Linked DNA regions of Saccharomyces cerevisiae S288C. Changing the gene in region 1 together with any one later gene gives a genetic interaction. Each region holds a gene or a part of one and is shown in the gene's direction. Other genes may lie near its edges.

What was found. A genetic interaction does not mean that the proteins touch.
Region 2: mutations in XRS2 (region 1) and SKN7 together harm fitness more than expected from each alone (negative genetic interaction), as found in Saccharomyces cerevisiae (3 studies listed by BioGRID, with this or other methods).
Region 3: mutations in XRS2 (region 1) and PDC1 together harm fitness more than expected from each alone (negative genetic interaction), as found in Saccharomyces cerevisiae (2 studies listed by BioGRID).

Annotation. Positions count from the first base shown.
Region 1 is NC_001136.10:1,214,285-1,219,705, reverse strand, and holds XRS2 (Xrs2p), read left to right. Parts: upstream 1-2,125; coding exon 2,126-4,690; downstream 4,691-5,421. Other genes in the region: CTS2 (putative chitinase), read right to left, coding at 1-293; DXO1 (Dxo1p), read left to right, coding at 596-1,924; trifunctional aldehyde reductase/carbonyl reductase (NADPH)/glucose 1-dehydrogenase (NADP(+)) YPR1, read right to left, coding at 4,864-5,421. UniProt on the Saccharomyces cerevisiae protein: Component of the MRN complex, which plays a central role in double-strand break (DSB) repair, DNA recombination, maintenance of telomere integrity and meiosis.
Region 2 is NC_001140.6:510,992-515,376, forward strand, and holds SKN7 (kinase-regulated stress-responsive transcription factor SKN7), read left to right. Parts: upstream 1-1,740; coding exon 1,741-3,609; downstream 3,610-4,385. Other genes in the region: serine/threonine protein kinase SCH9, read left to right, coding at 1-846; SET5 (S-adenosylmethionine-dependent methyltransferase), read right to left, coding at 3,914-4,385. UniProt on the Saccharomyces cerevisiae protein: Transcription factor that is part of a SLN1-YPD1-SKN7 two-component regulatory system, which controls gene expression in response to changes in the osmolarity of the extracellular environment.
Region 3 is NC_001144.5:231,614-235,905, reverse strand, and holds PDC1 (indolepyruvate decarboxylase 1), read left to right. Parts: upstream 1-1,824; coding exon 1,825-3,516; downstream 3,517-4,292. Other genes in the region: STU2 (Stu2p), read left to right, coding at 1-869; thioredoxin TRX1, read left to right, coding at 3,893-4,204. UniProt on the Saccharomyces cerevisiae protein: Major of three pyruvate decarboxylases (PDC1, PDC5, PDC6) implicated in the nonoxidative conversion of pyruvate to acetaldehyde and carbon dioxide during alcoholic fermentation.

The DNA of each region.
Region 1 (5,421 bases):
TTCAAGTTTATGTCGTGAGGGAAATGAAACCTCGGTTTGTATGGGGACCAATTGGAATAATAGACCCCTGATATAAAGGCTTCGTCTCTTATATGGGTTCCATGATTTTGGACATTACTGGGAACTCGATGTCCGCCATTGTTAAAGTTGTCTCTAATATCATCCGACCTTTGGTTCTTAAAAATTTTATTATATAAACACATTTCAATAATAATCGTTATAAAGATAAGTAGTATTAGTAGGTGAGACACTAAGCTGCTTTTTGATCTGTGCTGAGCTGAGTGTCCTACCATATGATCACTCTTGTATCGTCTACTTATAGAGGTTGTTAGTACCAACCTGCAAATACAATTGTTGGACCATACTACCACAAAAGGTTCTTTTCGTTGGTGTATCCTCACAAATAATGATTATTCCACCAAAATCACCAAATTATTGTGTCAAACTAACTGGGATTACCCCACTATTGATTTTTCCAGTTTTTCCGCAATTTTCGCAGCATGTTTTACTTTTATAATGGCATTGTTGCATTACAGCGCCAGTTGTAGGTATCGATGATTTTATGTCAAAGTTTTCTTTCTAGCCAAACTCAGTTATGTCAACTGAACAAGATGCTGTTCTTGGATTGGCCAAAGATTTAGAAGGTATAAATTTGCTTACTGTGCCCAATCTCGAGAGAGGACACCAAAGTAAATTATGCAAAGAGAAAACTACTTCTGATTCATCTTCGTCAAGGAAGCCTTCACAACAGAGAGACAATTATAGAAAGAGACGTCCGAAACTTATATGTATCCCATATACGTCTTTTCTGCATACTGGTATGCACAATTTTTTGACGAAACCACCAAGAGATATATTTCATGAAAGTAAAGAAGTAGCTCTGTTTACCAATGGCCGGGCTTATACAATCCTACGCAAAGACCTTATACCAAATTTGAAAGAAAGTATTGCTGAATTGTATGAAAGCTCGCTTCTTGAGGCAAAAAAGCGGAAAGTCCCGTATTTAGGCCATGACTTATTTGCTAATATTGATGAGTTCGTTCCCATGACAATATCCGAATTAGATAGTGTATCACCGTGTTTTTCATACATTGAGAACTGGATACTAGATAATCCTGGTAAGGATTTTAAGATCGGCAAGAAATTTACTGTTGTAACCACAAGACATCATATCGTAGATTTGACTATGCATCTCTTTAACAGGCGAAATAGACAAACGTCACTAATTGTAACTTATATGGGGGCGGGCCTTCTTTCATTTTGCAGAAATGTAAAAAAAGATTCTCAAATGTCCAAAGAGGGCATTTATTCAAATGATCCAAATATGAAGAAAATTTGCTATTCAGGATTTGAATTTGAAAATTGGGTAACCGAAAATTCCAAAGTCGCTGATTTAACTGGCTCTAAATGTCCTATTTTTTCTCTTGTAGAGAGTAAACTTTCAGAAGAAATTGGTCTTTTAATTCGCTGCGAAATGGATGCATTCAATCCTGTTTCGGAGACAAACACAGAACTAAAGTGTTTTGCCCCATTATCAATGCACAATTCCAATCATAGGAGAAAACTTCTGAAAACGTGGGTACAGACGGGTTTATTACCGAACTCAGATATCATGATAGGTTTGAGGGACAGTCATAGCGGTCAATTACTAGACATTCAATGGTACTCAAGGGACTTATTATGTAAGAAATTCAATCACCCAGGTCTACCTACAAATAAAAAGGAACTTAACTATAATGCCCAAATTGCGGTAGAATGGTGTCATTATTGTATTGAAGCAATTTGTAAGCTGGTGGAGGCAAATATCTCTGACTATAGCAGTACAAAACCAGAATCATTTGAAATCGGTATAGATACTAACAACGCCATCGTCATCACTAAACTTAAGACTACTCCAAGAAACGTAGAATTATTTGGAATGTAGAGACGTGTATAATATATAATACTTTTCCGAGAAATATTTCATTTTCATTTTCGTAAAGTTGTTAACTACGCTAAATATTAGTACTTTTCTTAAATTTATATGGGGAGCCCTTTTTTTCTATGAAAAGCAATGCGTAAACCAAATAAGCAGAATTTTGTAATAGATGAGCAACAATACTGAGAAGGTGATAACTATAAATTTATGTGGGTAGTACGATACCAGAATACATTGGAAGATGGCTCTATTAGCTTTATATCATGTTGTCTTCAGGCCTTCAAAACTTATAGTATAGGTAGATCAAGTAAAAACCCACTGATAATTAAAAATGATAAAAGTATTTCCAGACAGCATATCACATTCAAATGGGAAATCAATAATAGTTCGGATCTGAAACACAGTAGCCTGTGTTTAGTTAACAAGGGTAAATTGACATCATTAAATAAAAAATTCATGAAAGTTGGCGAAACATTTACTATTAATGCCTCGGACGTTTTAAAGTCCACAATAATTGAACTGGGTACAACTCCTATTCGTATAGAGTTCGAATGGATAAATGAAGTCTGGAACATTCCTCCTCATTTGACACAATTCAGGACGATGCTTTCTGAATATGGTATCTCCACTGAGATTTCTATTAATGATATTCCCGCTAATCTGATGATTAGCGATTACCCAAAGAGCGAGGACAACAGCATACGGGAATTGTATGCCCTTGTTAGTACTATACCCATGAAAAAATCACGGTTTCTGATGGAATTGTGTAATACTCTTCTTCCCACATCTAAAACTAATTTAAAATTTGATGAAATGTGGAACGATATGATTAGTAATCCGGAGTACAATGTTTTTGATTTTGATCCAAATATTTTGCTTTCGAAGTTTATGAGGCTGAATAATATCAGAGTGTTAACTACTATCAAAAGTGAACCACGTCTATCATCTCTCCTGCGGACGTTCAATATAAATTTATTTGCATTTGACAACATTGATAGTTTATATAAATATGTTGACAGCTTGGAAGCATCAACAGAATACCTGATTTTGACAACTACAGATAAGAAAGAAAATGGGAAAATTCTATGTACTATCAAAACGATGTTAACATCAATAATAGATGGCACCTTAAGCGCAGTGATTAATATGAAGGGTGCATCTTCAAGAACTCTAGATAACGGTAAATTTGATCAAATTTCTGAAGGAATGTCTACTATTTTGAAAACATCTCGTGCACCTGAAGTTGAAGCTAGTCCAGTAGTCTCGAAGAAGCGAAAATTAAATAGACGTAGAGTACTACCACTCGATAGTCTTGATTTTTTTGCTGGAGGTTTGAGTACTAAGACTCTATCAGAAAATAGGTCTTTAACTGACGCTAAGAGACTTAATTGTGGCGCAGAATCAAAGACTGTCATTTCAAGTCCCAACATTGCAGAGGCAGATGAAAAGCACGCCCCATTTCTTCAAAACGCACTAAAGCCGACTGAAGATATTGGAAAGAAAAGTGGTCACAGTAGCCCTGGTGCTATAATTGTCAGTAGCCCCAACTTAGGTACTGTGAACACGAGTGAGGATTCGTTGGATAAGTCGCTACAGTCACATAAGTTACCACAGCCGTCATTGCCGGAGGTAGCAGGGATTGGCTCTCAAACCATATCTTCGAACTCCGCTGACTATGAAACAGCTGCTGTGAATTCGATGGATGATGCTGAAGTTACTAAGAATTTTAGGGTGAATCATCACCAGAATATAGAGCAACCCTCTAAAAACATCCGTAAACTTTCTAATTATTCACGAGAAATTTCATCTCCATTACAAGAAAATTGTAAGTCACCTGTAAAAGAGTTATCTATTAAAGAGAAATCTGGTACGCCGCACGCATTTGTTGAAGCTATTCAAGAAACTAAAAATAGAGAGGTCAAAAGAGTTAAGTCAACCATTGTTGAATTGAAGGATGAGGAGTTGAGCGAGGAAGCTATTAATCAGCTAAAAAATTTGGCTATTGTAGAACCTAGTAACAATTTACTGAGGAAATCATTTGATAGTGAGGGAAACAAAACAAGCAGAACAACTGAAAAATGGGAAAATAGCCTAATGGAGCCAGAATGGCATAAACGCAAGAATTTCAAGACTTTTGTCAAGGTACGTCCAAAATCAAAGGCGCACAAAGAAGAGGGTAAAAATAACACTCAAAGCTCAGATTTTATACGAAATGCAGCCTTTTTAATCACTAGAAATTATGTTCCGTTAAAAAAATACTCCAAAAAGGATACAACTACAAAATGGGGCACAGAAGAAAACGAAGATATGTTTGCTTTGACGGAGATGGAAAGATTTGGATCGAATACATTTATGTCCGATAATATAAACTCAAACACTATCCAGAAAAGATCTCAAGCTCTAAACAGATTCACGAATGAGGATAGTTCAAATGAAGGAGAAGAAGATTCGTTTTCTTTTTCTCGTTGTTCAGGTACTGCAGCCAGCGTTCAACCACTAAAAAACAAAATTTTTATTACTGATGAAGATGATCTGGGTGATATTGATGATAAAAGCGATAGACTAAATCACAGAGAAAATAATCGTAATCTTTTTGTGGTGAAGGAAATGAACTTACGGCCAAACTTGTCAGAAGAATGTTCCAAGCAAAGTAGACACAGTAGAAGCGCAACTAGTAGATCACGTGGCTCTTTTGGGGCTTCTAATAACGGTGATGGCGACGACGACGATGACGACGGTCCGAAGTTTACGTTCAAAAGAAGAAAAGGATAATGATAAATTTTCCGAGTATTTCCAATTTCATTAAATTATATTTTGCATTATCATTCGATATATGTGTATATATTATATGAAAATTAGTAAAATCAATGTTTGTTTCAGCTGTATCGGATCGGTTTAAAGAAGCACTACAGGTTGCTGGAGGCATTAACTGTAATGTAGCGCGCTCATTGGAAAATTGGGAAGGATCCCCACTTCATATCAACGACTCTCTTTGTACCATGCACTTTGGATAGGTTACTAATAGTCTTGAAATCATCCTCAGGCAGAGTGAAAATCTTAAAATTGGATACAATTCTTTCAGGATTAACCGATTTGGCCAGAACAACGTAGCCTCTTTGAATACTCCAACTGATAATAAGCTGTGCTGGCTCAACGCCGTGCTTTTTAGCCATATCAATAATTGCTTGCTCTTTTAGTAAAGGAGCATTAGCACTCCCAAATGGTGAGTAGGCTTCAACAACAATACCCTTTTCCTTACAAAAGGCAATCAATTCGTCTTGTGGTAGCAATGGATGAATTTCAATTTGATTAGTAGCTGGTACCACCTTGTTATTTGGAGATTCTAATAATTCTTTAATGTTGTTAATAGAAAAATTAGAGACACCAACGGCTTTAGTTTTGCCCGTCTTTGGCAACTCTTGCATCAACTCCCACGTCTTGATAAAATTCCATTCCTTAGTATCGATGTCAACAGTGCCATCTTCTAATGTTGGAATGCACAG
Region 2 (4,385 bases), on another chromosome or scaffold:
ATTCTACTCGATGCCAACGGTAACATCGCTCTTTGCGATTTTGGTCTTTCTAAAGCTGACTTGAAGGATAGAACAAACACATTTTGCGGCACCACGGAATACCTGGCACCAGAATTGTTACTGGACGAAACCGGCTACACCAAAATGGTCGATTTCTGGTCTCTAGGTGTTTTGATATTTGAAATGTGTTGTGGTTGGTCCCCTTTCTTTGCGGAAAATAATCAAAAAATGTACCAAAAAATTGCCTTTGGTAAAGTCAAATTCCCCAGAGACGTACTGTCACAAGAGGGGAGGTCTTTTGTAAAGGGTTTACTAAACAGAAACCCCAAACATAGACTCGGTGCCATTGATGATGGAAGAGAACTACGAGCTCATCCATTTTTCGCAGATATCGACTGGGAGGCCTTGAAGCAGAAAAAAATTCCACCACCTTTCAAACCTCACCTAGTCTCGGAGACGGATACCTCGAATTTTGACCCAGAGTTCACAACAGCTTCAACTTCATACATGAACAAGCACCAGCCGATGATGACTGCTACCCCGCTATCTCCAGCCATGCAAGCAAAGTTTGCTGGTTTCACCTTTGTTGATGAGTCCGCCATCGATGAACACGTTAATAACAACAGAAAATTCCTACAAAACTCGTACTTTATGGAACCTGGTTCCTTTATCCCGGGAAATCCAAACTTACCTCCAGACGAAGATGTCATCGATGATGACGGGGACGAGGACATCAATGATGGATTCAACCAAGAGAAAAATATGAACAACAGCCATTCGCAGATGGACTTCGACGGCGACCAACACATGGATGACGAATTTGTCAGTGGAAGATTCGAAATATGATTTCTCAATCGCTCCTCTTGCCCTTCCTCTTCTTTTCCTTTTCTTTTTATTTTTTTCTAATTTTTCTATCTTTTATTTCTACTTCTATTATTAATTTGTATCTTCTAATCGTTTTTCCCACTTTATCGAAACATTTCTTCTATTTATATATGTAAAGTATGTATGTATTTTCGTTTTATTTAAACTCCAAAAAATGAATAATTGTTCCTGCAAATTTCTAGTTTATCACGTCTCATAATCACTGCTTATACCTCACCATTCCATTGTACTTTGACATATTTACCCCTCATCTATATATAATCAGGGCTTAAGTAAACGCTTCGCTGTGATTTCCCAAAGTCGGTTCGGAAATTATAGGTCGGTTATATCATCCGAAAAAAAAAAAAAAAAAGTTTTTCTTAAATGCATAGGTTTAAAGTCGATTAAAAGTAGGGCTAACACAAGTATAAGCAGGGTTTTGCTATAATAGGGATGCCATAAGTGAGGGCAGGGCTCATCGATGCGCGTACATGGATTTTCCGAAATTCTGAATTTTTTCTTTCTTTAACTATGAGCAAAATGTGGTCAGCTTTACTGAGCTTAACTGTCATCCCATCGAATGTGACAAGATTGAAAGTGCTTCCAGGATCTGAAACATTTGTCAAAGTTTTACTAACATTACACAGATATCCCTGGTCACCTTACTATCTTCCAACATCTTACCTAGGCTTGCTGCTTTTGTTTGGGTCATATATTTAACTCGCTCATTAGAGGACATTCTGTTTTTTCCAAGACCAACAAAAAAGCAACGAAATTGCTGTATTATTAAAGGACTGTTATAGAAGTTTTTTTATCCTCTCTTTGTTTCCATTATTCTTATTCCTATTTTTTCGTTGCTTACTTTTGATATCCACTATGAGCTTTTCCACCATAAATAGCAACGTCAATAAAACCACCGGCGATAGCAATAATAACACCACCGAGAACAGTTCGACTGCAGACCTTTTAGGAATGGACTTGTTGCAGAGCGGGCCTCGACTGATGAACACGATGCAGCCAAACAACTCTTCTGACATGCTGCACATTAACAACAAGACTAATAACGTTCAACAACCAGCTGGAAACACAAATATCAGCAGTGCTAATGCGGGAGCAAAGGCTCCAGCAAATGAGTTCGTAAGAAAACTGTTCAGGATACTGGAAAACAATGAATATCCTGACATTGTAACTTGGACTGAGAACGGCAAAAGTTTCGTCGTTTTGGACACAGGAAAGTTCACTACGCATATATTGCCTAATCACTTCAAACATTCAAATTTTGCATCTTTTGTAAGGCAACTAAACAAGTATGACTTTCACAAGGTTAAGAGAAGTCCCGAGGAAAGACAGAGATGTAAATATGGCGAACAAAGTTGGGAGTTTCAGCATCCAGAATTTAGAGTCCATTACGGAAAAGGTCTCGATAACATCAAAAGGAAAATTCCGGCGCAAAGGAAAGTGCTTTTGGATGAATCTCAAAAGGCTCTTTTGCATTTCAATAGTGAAGGCACTAACCCCAACAATCCTTCTGGGTCTCTTTTGAATGAATCCACCACAGAGCTGTTGTTAAGCAATACCGTAAGTAAAGATGCATTTGGAAATCTAAGAAGGCGAGTAGACAAACTACAAAAGGAGTTGGATATGTCCAAAATGGAGAGTTATGCTACTAAAGTAGAACTACAAAAGTTGAACTCGAAATACAATACGGTTATCGAAAGTTTGATAACATTCAAGACCATAAATGAAAATTTACTCAACAACTTCAACACTCTGTGTTCCACTTTGGCAAATAATGGTATTGAAGTGCCAATATTTGGCGACAATGGAAACCGTAACCCAACTGGTAATACCAACCCAGCAACAACAACAGCTATCCAAAGCAACAACAACACCAACAATGCTTCTCCGGCAACATCTACAGTTTCCTTACAACTACCTAATTTACCCGATCAGAATAGCCTAACACCAAATGCTCAAAATAACACAGTCACGCTACGAAAAGGTTTCCATGTACTGTTGGTGGAAGATGACGCAGTGTCTATACAGTTGTGTTCAAAATTTTTACGGAAATATGGCTGTACTGTCCAAGTTGTCAGCGACGGTCTTTCAGCTATCTCAACACTAGAGAAGTATAGGTATGATTTGGTTTTAATGGACATTGTTATGCCAAACCTAGATGGTGCCACAGCGACATCCATTGTCAGAAGTTTTGATAATGAGACTCCCATCATTGCCATGACAGGTAACATTATGAATCAAGACTTGATCACATACTTACAACATGGAATGAATGATATCTTGGCCAAACCATTCACGAGGGATGATTTACACTCAATTTTAATACGTTATCTAAAGGACCGTATTCCTTTATGCGAACAGCAATTACCACCTCGCAACTCTTCGCCACAAACTCATTCCAACACCAATACTGCTAATTCGAATCCTAATACGATTAATGAACAGTCGTTAGCCATGTTACCACAAGATAATCCGTCAACTACTACCCCTGTTACCCCAGGTGCCTCTATATCTTCTGCACAGCATGTTCAACAAGGTCAACAAGAACAGCAGCATCAAATTTTCCATGCTCAGCAGCAGCAGCAGCATCACAACGCCATTGCTAATGCTAGGTCAGACGTAGCCATACCGAATTTGGAACATGAAATCAACACTGTACCACATTCCTCAATGGGTTCCACTCCGCAATTACCACAATCTACACTTCAAGAAAACCAGCTATCATAAAATTTTACAAATAGCCTTGCGTCTAAGTTAGCAGAGGACATTCTGTATTCCTGAGGAGTTTCTTTATATTTATTATGTGATCTTGGAGGATTATCATTTTCTTTTCGTTCAATATTTTATCCCCTTCAGTTATTTCCAGTTATCTACATCAAAATGTTTGAATTTTATTTCTTTCTGCCGCTCTCAAATTCACTCTCATTTCTTTTTTCTTTGTTTTTCTTATATTTACTATATATATATATATATATATATATATATAGCCAAAAACAATAACAGACACAGTAATTTAGTATGCGTTTATCTCTTATCTTTCATCCACTGCGACCGAAACGTTTGAATCGAATCTGACTGAGGTTTTTCTTACATTCCCTTGTGTATCAACAGTTTCTGGTATGTCTAATTCAAATTCTTTTCCATTCTTCAGTATTTCTTTTAAATCTGGCTGGGCCTCTCTCATGGAAGATTTACGATTACCAGTTGATTTCTTAGAGCCATCTTCACTACTATCATTGGAATCTATTTTTTCTACTCCTAAATTAGCATCCGCATTCTTTTTCTCTAGATTTGGAACTCTTTCAAATGTAGATAGTTCATTTTGACAGCGGTCACACTGGCATAAGAAGCCCCAGTTAACTCTTAATTCCCTACGCCTCAACCTCACCCCATGTAAGGGATTGACGTACGTAATACGTATTTGTTCCCCCTTCTTTATTGGTTTCCTTGCATGCAACCTCAGTTCCTCATGTTCTTCTACTTGCTCAATATAGGCGTTTGGT
Region 3 (4,292 bases), on another chromosome or scaffold:
TGGCATCTTCACCGCTGAGAAATGATAACAAAAGTAAAGTGAACCCAATAGGGTCAGTAGCCTCCGCATCAAAACCATCAATGGTAGCTGCTAACAATAAATCGAGGGTCCTGTTGACGTCTAAGTCTTTGGCAACGCCAAAAAACGTAGTAGCTAATAGCACTGACAAGAATGAAAAGTTGATTGAAGAATACAAGTACAGACTGCAAAAACTACAAAATGATGAGATGATATGGACCAAAGAAAGACAAAGCCTATTGGAAAAGATGAATAATACAGAAAATTATAAGATCGAAATGATTAAAGAAAACGAAATGCTAAGAGAGCAACTAAAGGAAGCGCAGTCTAAATTGAACGAAAAGAACATTCAATTAAGATCCAAGGAGATTGATGTCAATAAGCTGTCTGATAGAGTACTGTCACTAGAAAACGAGCTTAGAAACATGGAGATCGAATTGGATAGAAATAAGAAAAGAAATGATACAAACTTGCAATCGATGGGTACGATTTCATCATACTCCATACCTTCTTCCACCGTGTCAAGCAACTATGGGGTAAAATCTTTATCTTCCGCTTTGCCATTTAAGGAGGAGGAAGATGTCAGAAGGAAAGAGGACGTCAACTATGAAAGAAGATCAAGCGAGTCCATCGGCGACCTGCCGCACCGCGTAAACTCTCTTAACATACGGCCGTACAGAAAAAACGGCACTGGAGTGAGCAGTGTCTCCGACGATTTGGATATCGATTTCAACGATAGTTTTGCCTCAGAAGAAAGTTATAAACGTGCCGCTGCAGTGACATCTACCCTAAAGGCCAGAATTGAAAAAATGAAGGCCAAATCAAGGCGGGAAGGGACAACCAGGACGTAAAGGGTAGCCTCCCCATAACATAAACTCAATAAAATATATAGTCTTCAACTTGAAAAAGGAACAAGCTCATGCAAAGAGGTGGTACCCGCACGCCGAAATGCATGCAAGTAACCTATTCAAAGTAATATCTCATACATGTTTCATGAGGGTAACAACATGCGACTGGGTGAGCATATGTTCCGCTGATGTGATGTGCAAGATAAACAAGCAAGGCAGAAACTAACTTCTTCTTCATGTAATAAACACACCCCGCGTTTATTTACCTATCTCTAAACTTCAACACCTTATATCATAACTAATATTTCTTGAGATAAGCACACTGCACCCATACCTTCCTTAAAAACGTAGCTTCCAGTTTTTGGTGGTTCCGGCTTCCTTCCCGATTCCGCCCGCTAAACGCATATTTTTGTTGCCTGGTGGCATTTGCAAAATGCATAACCTATGCATTTAAAAGATTATGTATGCTCTTCTGACTTTTCGTGTGATGAGGCTCGTGGAAAAAATGAATAATTTATGAATTTGAGAACAATTTTGTGTTGTTACGGTATTTTACTATGGAATAATCAATCAATTGAGGATTTTATGCAAATATCGTTTGAATATTTTTCCGACCCTTTGAGTACTTTTCTTCATAATTGCATAATATTGTCCGCTGCCCCTTTTTCTGTTAGACGGTGTCTTGATCTACTTGCTATCGTTCAACACCACCTTATTTTCTAACTATTTTTTTTTTAGCTCATTTGAATCAGCTTATGGTGATGGCACATTTTTGCATAAACCTAGCTGTCCTCGTTGAACATAGGAAAAAAAAATATATAAACAAGGCTCTTTCACTCTCCTTGCAATCAGATTTGGGTTTGTTCCCTTTATTTTCATATTTCTTGTCATATTCCTTTCTCAATTATTATTTTCTACTCATAACCTCACGCAAAATAACACAGTCAAATCAATCAAAATGTCTGAAATTACTTTGGGTAAATATTTGTTCGAAAGATTAAAGCAAGTCAACGTTAACACCGTTTTCGGTTTGCCAGGTGACTTCAACTTGTCCTTGTTGGACAAGATCTACGAAGTTGAAGGTATGAGATGGGCTGGTAACGCCAACGAATTGAACGCTGCTTACGCCGCTGATGGTTACGCTCGTATCAAGGGTATGTCTTGTATCATCACCACCTTCGGTGTCGGTGAATTGTCTGCTTTGAACGGTATTGCCGGTTCTTACGCTGAACACGTCGGTGTTTTGCACGTTGTTGGTGTCCCATCCATCTCTGCTCAAGCTAAGCAATTGTTGTTGCACCACACCTTGGGTAACGGTGACTTCACTGTTTTCCACAGAATGTCTGCCAACATTTCTGAAACCACTGCTATGATCACTGACATTGCTACCGCCCCAGCTGAAATTGACAGATGTATCAGAACCACTTACGTCACCCAAAGACCAGTCTACTTAGGTTTGCCAGCTAACTTGGTCGACTTGAACGTCCCAGCTAAGTTGTTGCAAACTCCAATTGACATGTCTTTGAAGCCAAACGATGCTGAATCCGAAAAGGAAGTCATTGACACCATCTTGGCTTTGGTCAAGGATGCTAAGAACCCAGTTATCTTGGCTGATGCTTGTTGTTCCAGACACGACGTCAAGGCTGAAACTAAGAAGTTGATTGACTTGACTCAATTCCCAGCTTTCGTCACCCCAATGGGTAAGGGTTCCATTGACGAACAACACCCAAGATACGGTGGTGTTTACGTCGGTACCTTGTCCAAGCCAGAAGTTAAGGAAGCCGTTGAATCTGCTGACTTGATTTTGTCTGTCGGTGCTTTGTTGTCTGATTTCAACACCGGTTCTTTCTCTTACTCTTACAAGACCAAGAACATTGTCGAATTCCACTCCGACCACATGAAGATCAGAAACGCCACTTTCCCAGGTGTCCAAATGAAATTCGTTTTGCAAAAGTTGTTGACCACTATTGCTGACGCCGCTAAGGGTTACAAGCCAGTTGCTGTCCCAGCTAGAACTCCAGCTAACGCTGCTGTCCCAGCTTCTACCCCATTGAAGCAAGAATGGATGTGGAACCAATTGGGTAACTTCTTGCAAGAAGGTGATGTTGTCATTGCTGAAACCGGTACCTCCGCTTTCGGTATCAACCAAACCACTTTCCCAAACAACACCTACGGTATCTCTCAAGTCTTATGGGGTTCCATTGGTTTCACCACTGGTGCTACCTTGGGTGCTGCTTTCGCTGCTGAAGAAATTGATCCAAAGAAGAGAGTTATCTTATTCATTGGTGACGGTTCTTTGCAATTGACTGTTCAAGAAATCTCCACCATGATCAGATGGGGCTTGAAGCCATACTTGTTCGTCTTGAACAACGATGGTTACACCATTGAAAAGTTGATTCACGGTCCAAAGGCTCAATACAACGAAATTCAAGGTTGGGACCACCTATCCTTGTTGCCAACTTTCGGTGCTAAGGACTATGAAACCCACAGAGTCGCTACCACCGGTGAATGGGACAAGTTGACCCAAGACAAGTCTTTCAACGACAACTCTAAGATCAGAATGATTGAAATCATGTTGCCAGTCTTCGATGCTCCACAAAACTTGGTTGAACAAGCTAAGTTGACTGCTGCTACCAACGCTAAGCAATAAGCGATTTAATCTCTAATTATTAGTTAAAGTTTTATAAGCATTTTTATGTAACGAAAAATAAATTGGTTCATATTATTACTGCACTGTCACTTACCATGGAAAGACCAGACAAGAAGTTGCCGACAGTCTGTTGAATTGGCCTGGTTAGGCTTAAGTCTGGGTCCGCTTCTTTACAAATTTGGAGAATTTCTCTTAAACGATATGTATATTCTTTTCGTTGGAAAAGATGTCTTCCAAAAAAAAAACCGATGAATTAGTGGAACCAAGGAAAAAAAAAGAGGTATCCTTGATTAAGGAACACTGTTTAAACAGTGTGGTTTCCAAAACCCTGAAACTGCATTAGTGTAATAGAAGACTAGACACCTCGATACAAATAATGGTTACTCAATTCAAAACTGCCAGCGAATTCGACTCTGCAATTGCTCAAGACAAGCTAGTTGTCGTAGATTTCTACGCCACTTGGTGCGGTCCATGTAAAATGATTGCTCCAATGATTGAAAAATTCTCTGAACAATACCCACAAGCTGATTTCTATAAATTGGATGTCGATGAATTGGGTGATGTTGCACAAAAGAATGAAGTTTCCGCTATGCCAACTTTGCTTCTATTCAAGAACGGTAAGGAAGTTGCAAAGGTTGTTGGTGCCAACCCAGCGGCTATTAAGCAAGCCATTGCTGCTAATGCTTAAACTCACCCAATGACCGATATATTGTGTTTCTATACTGTGTTTGTTATATATAGTTTACCTTTTTTAGACAAAAAAACAGAATTATATA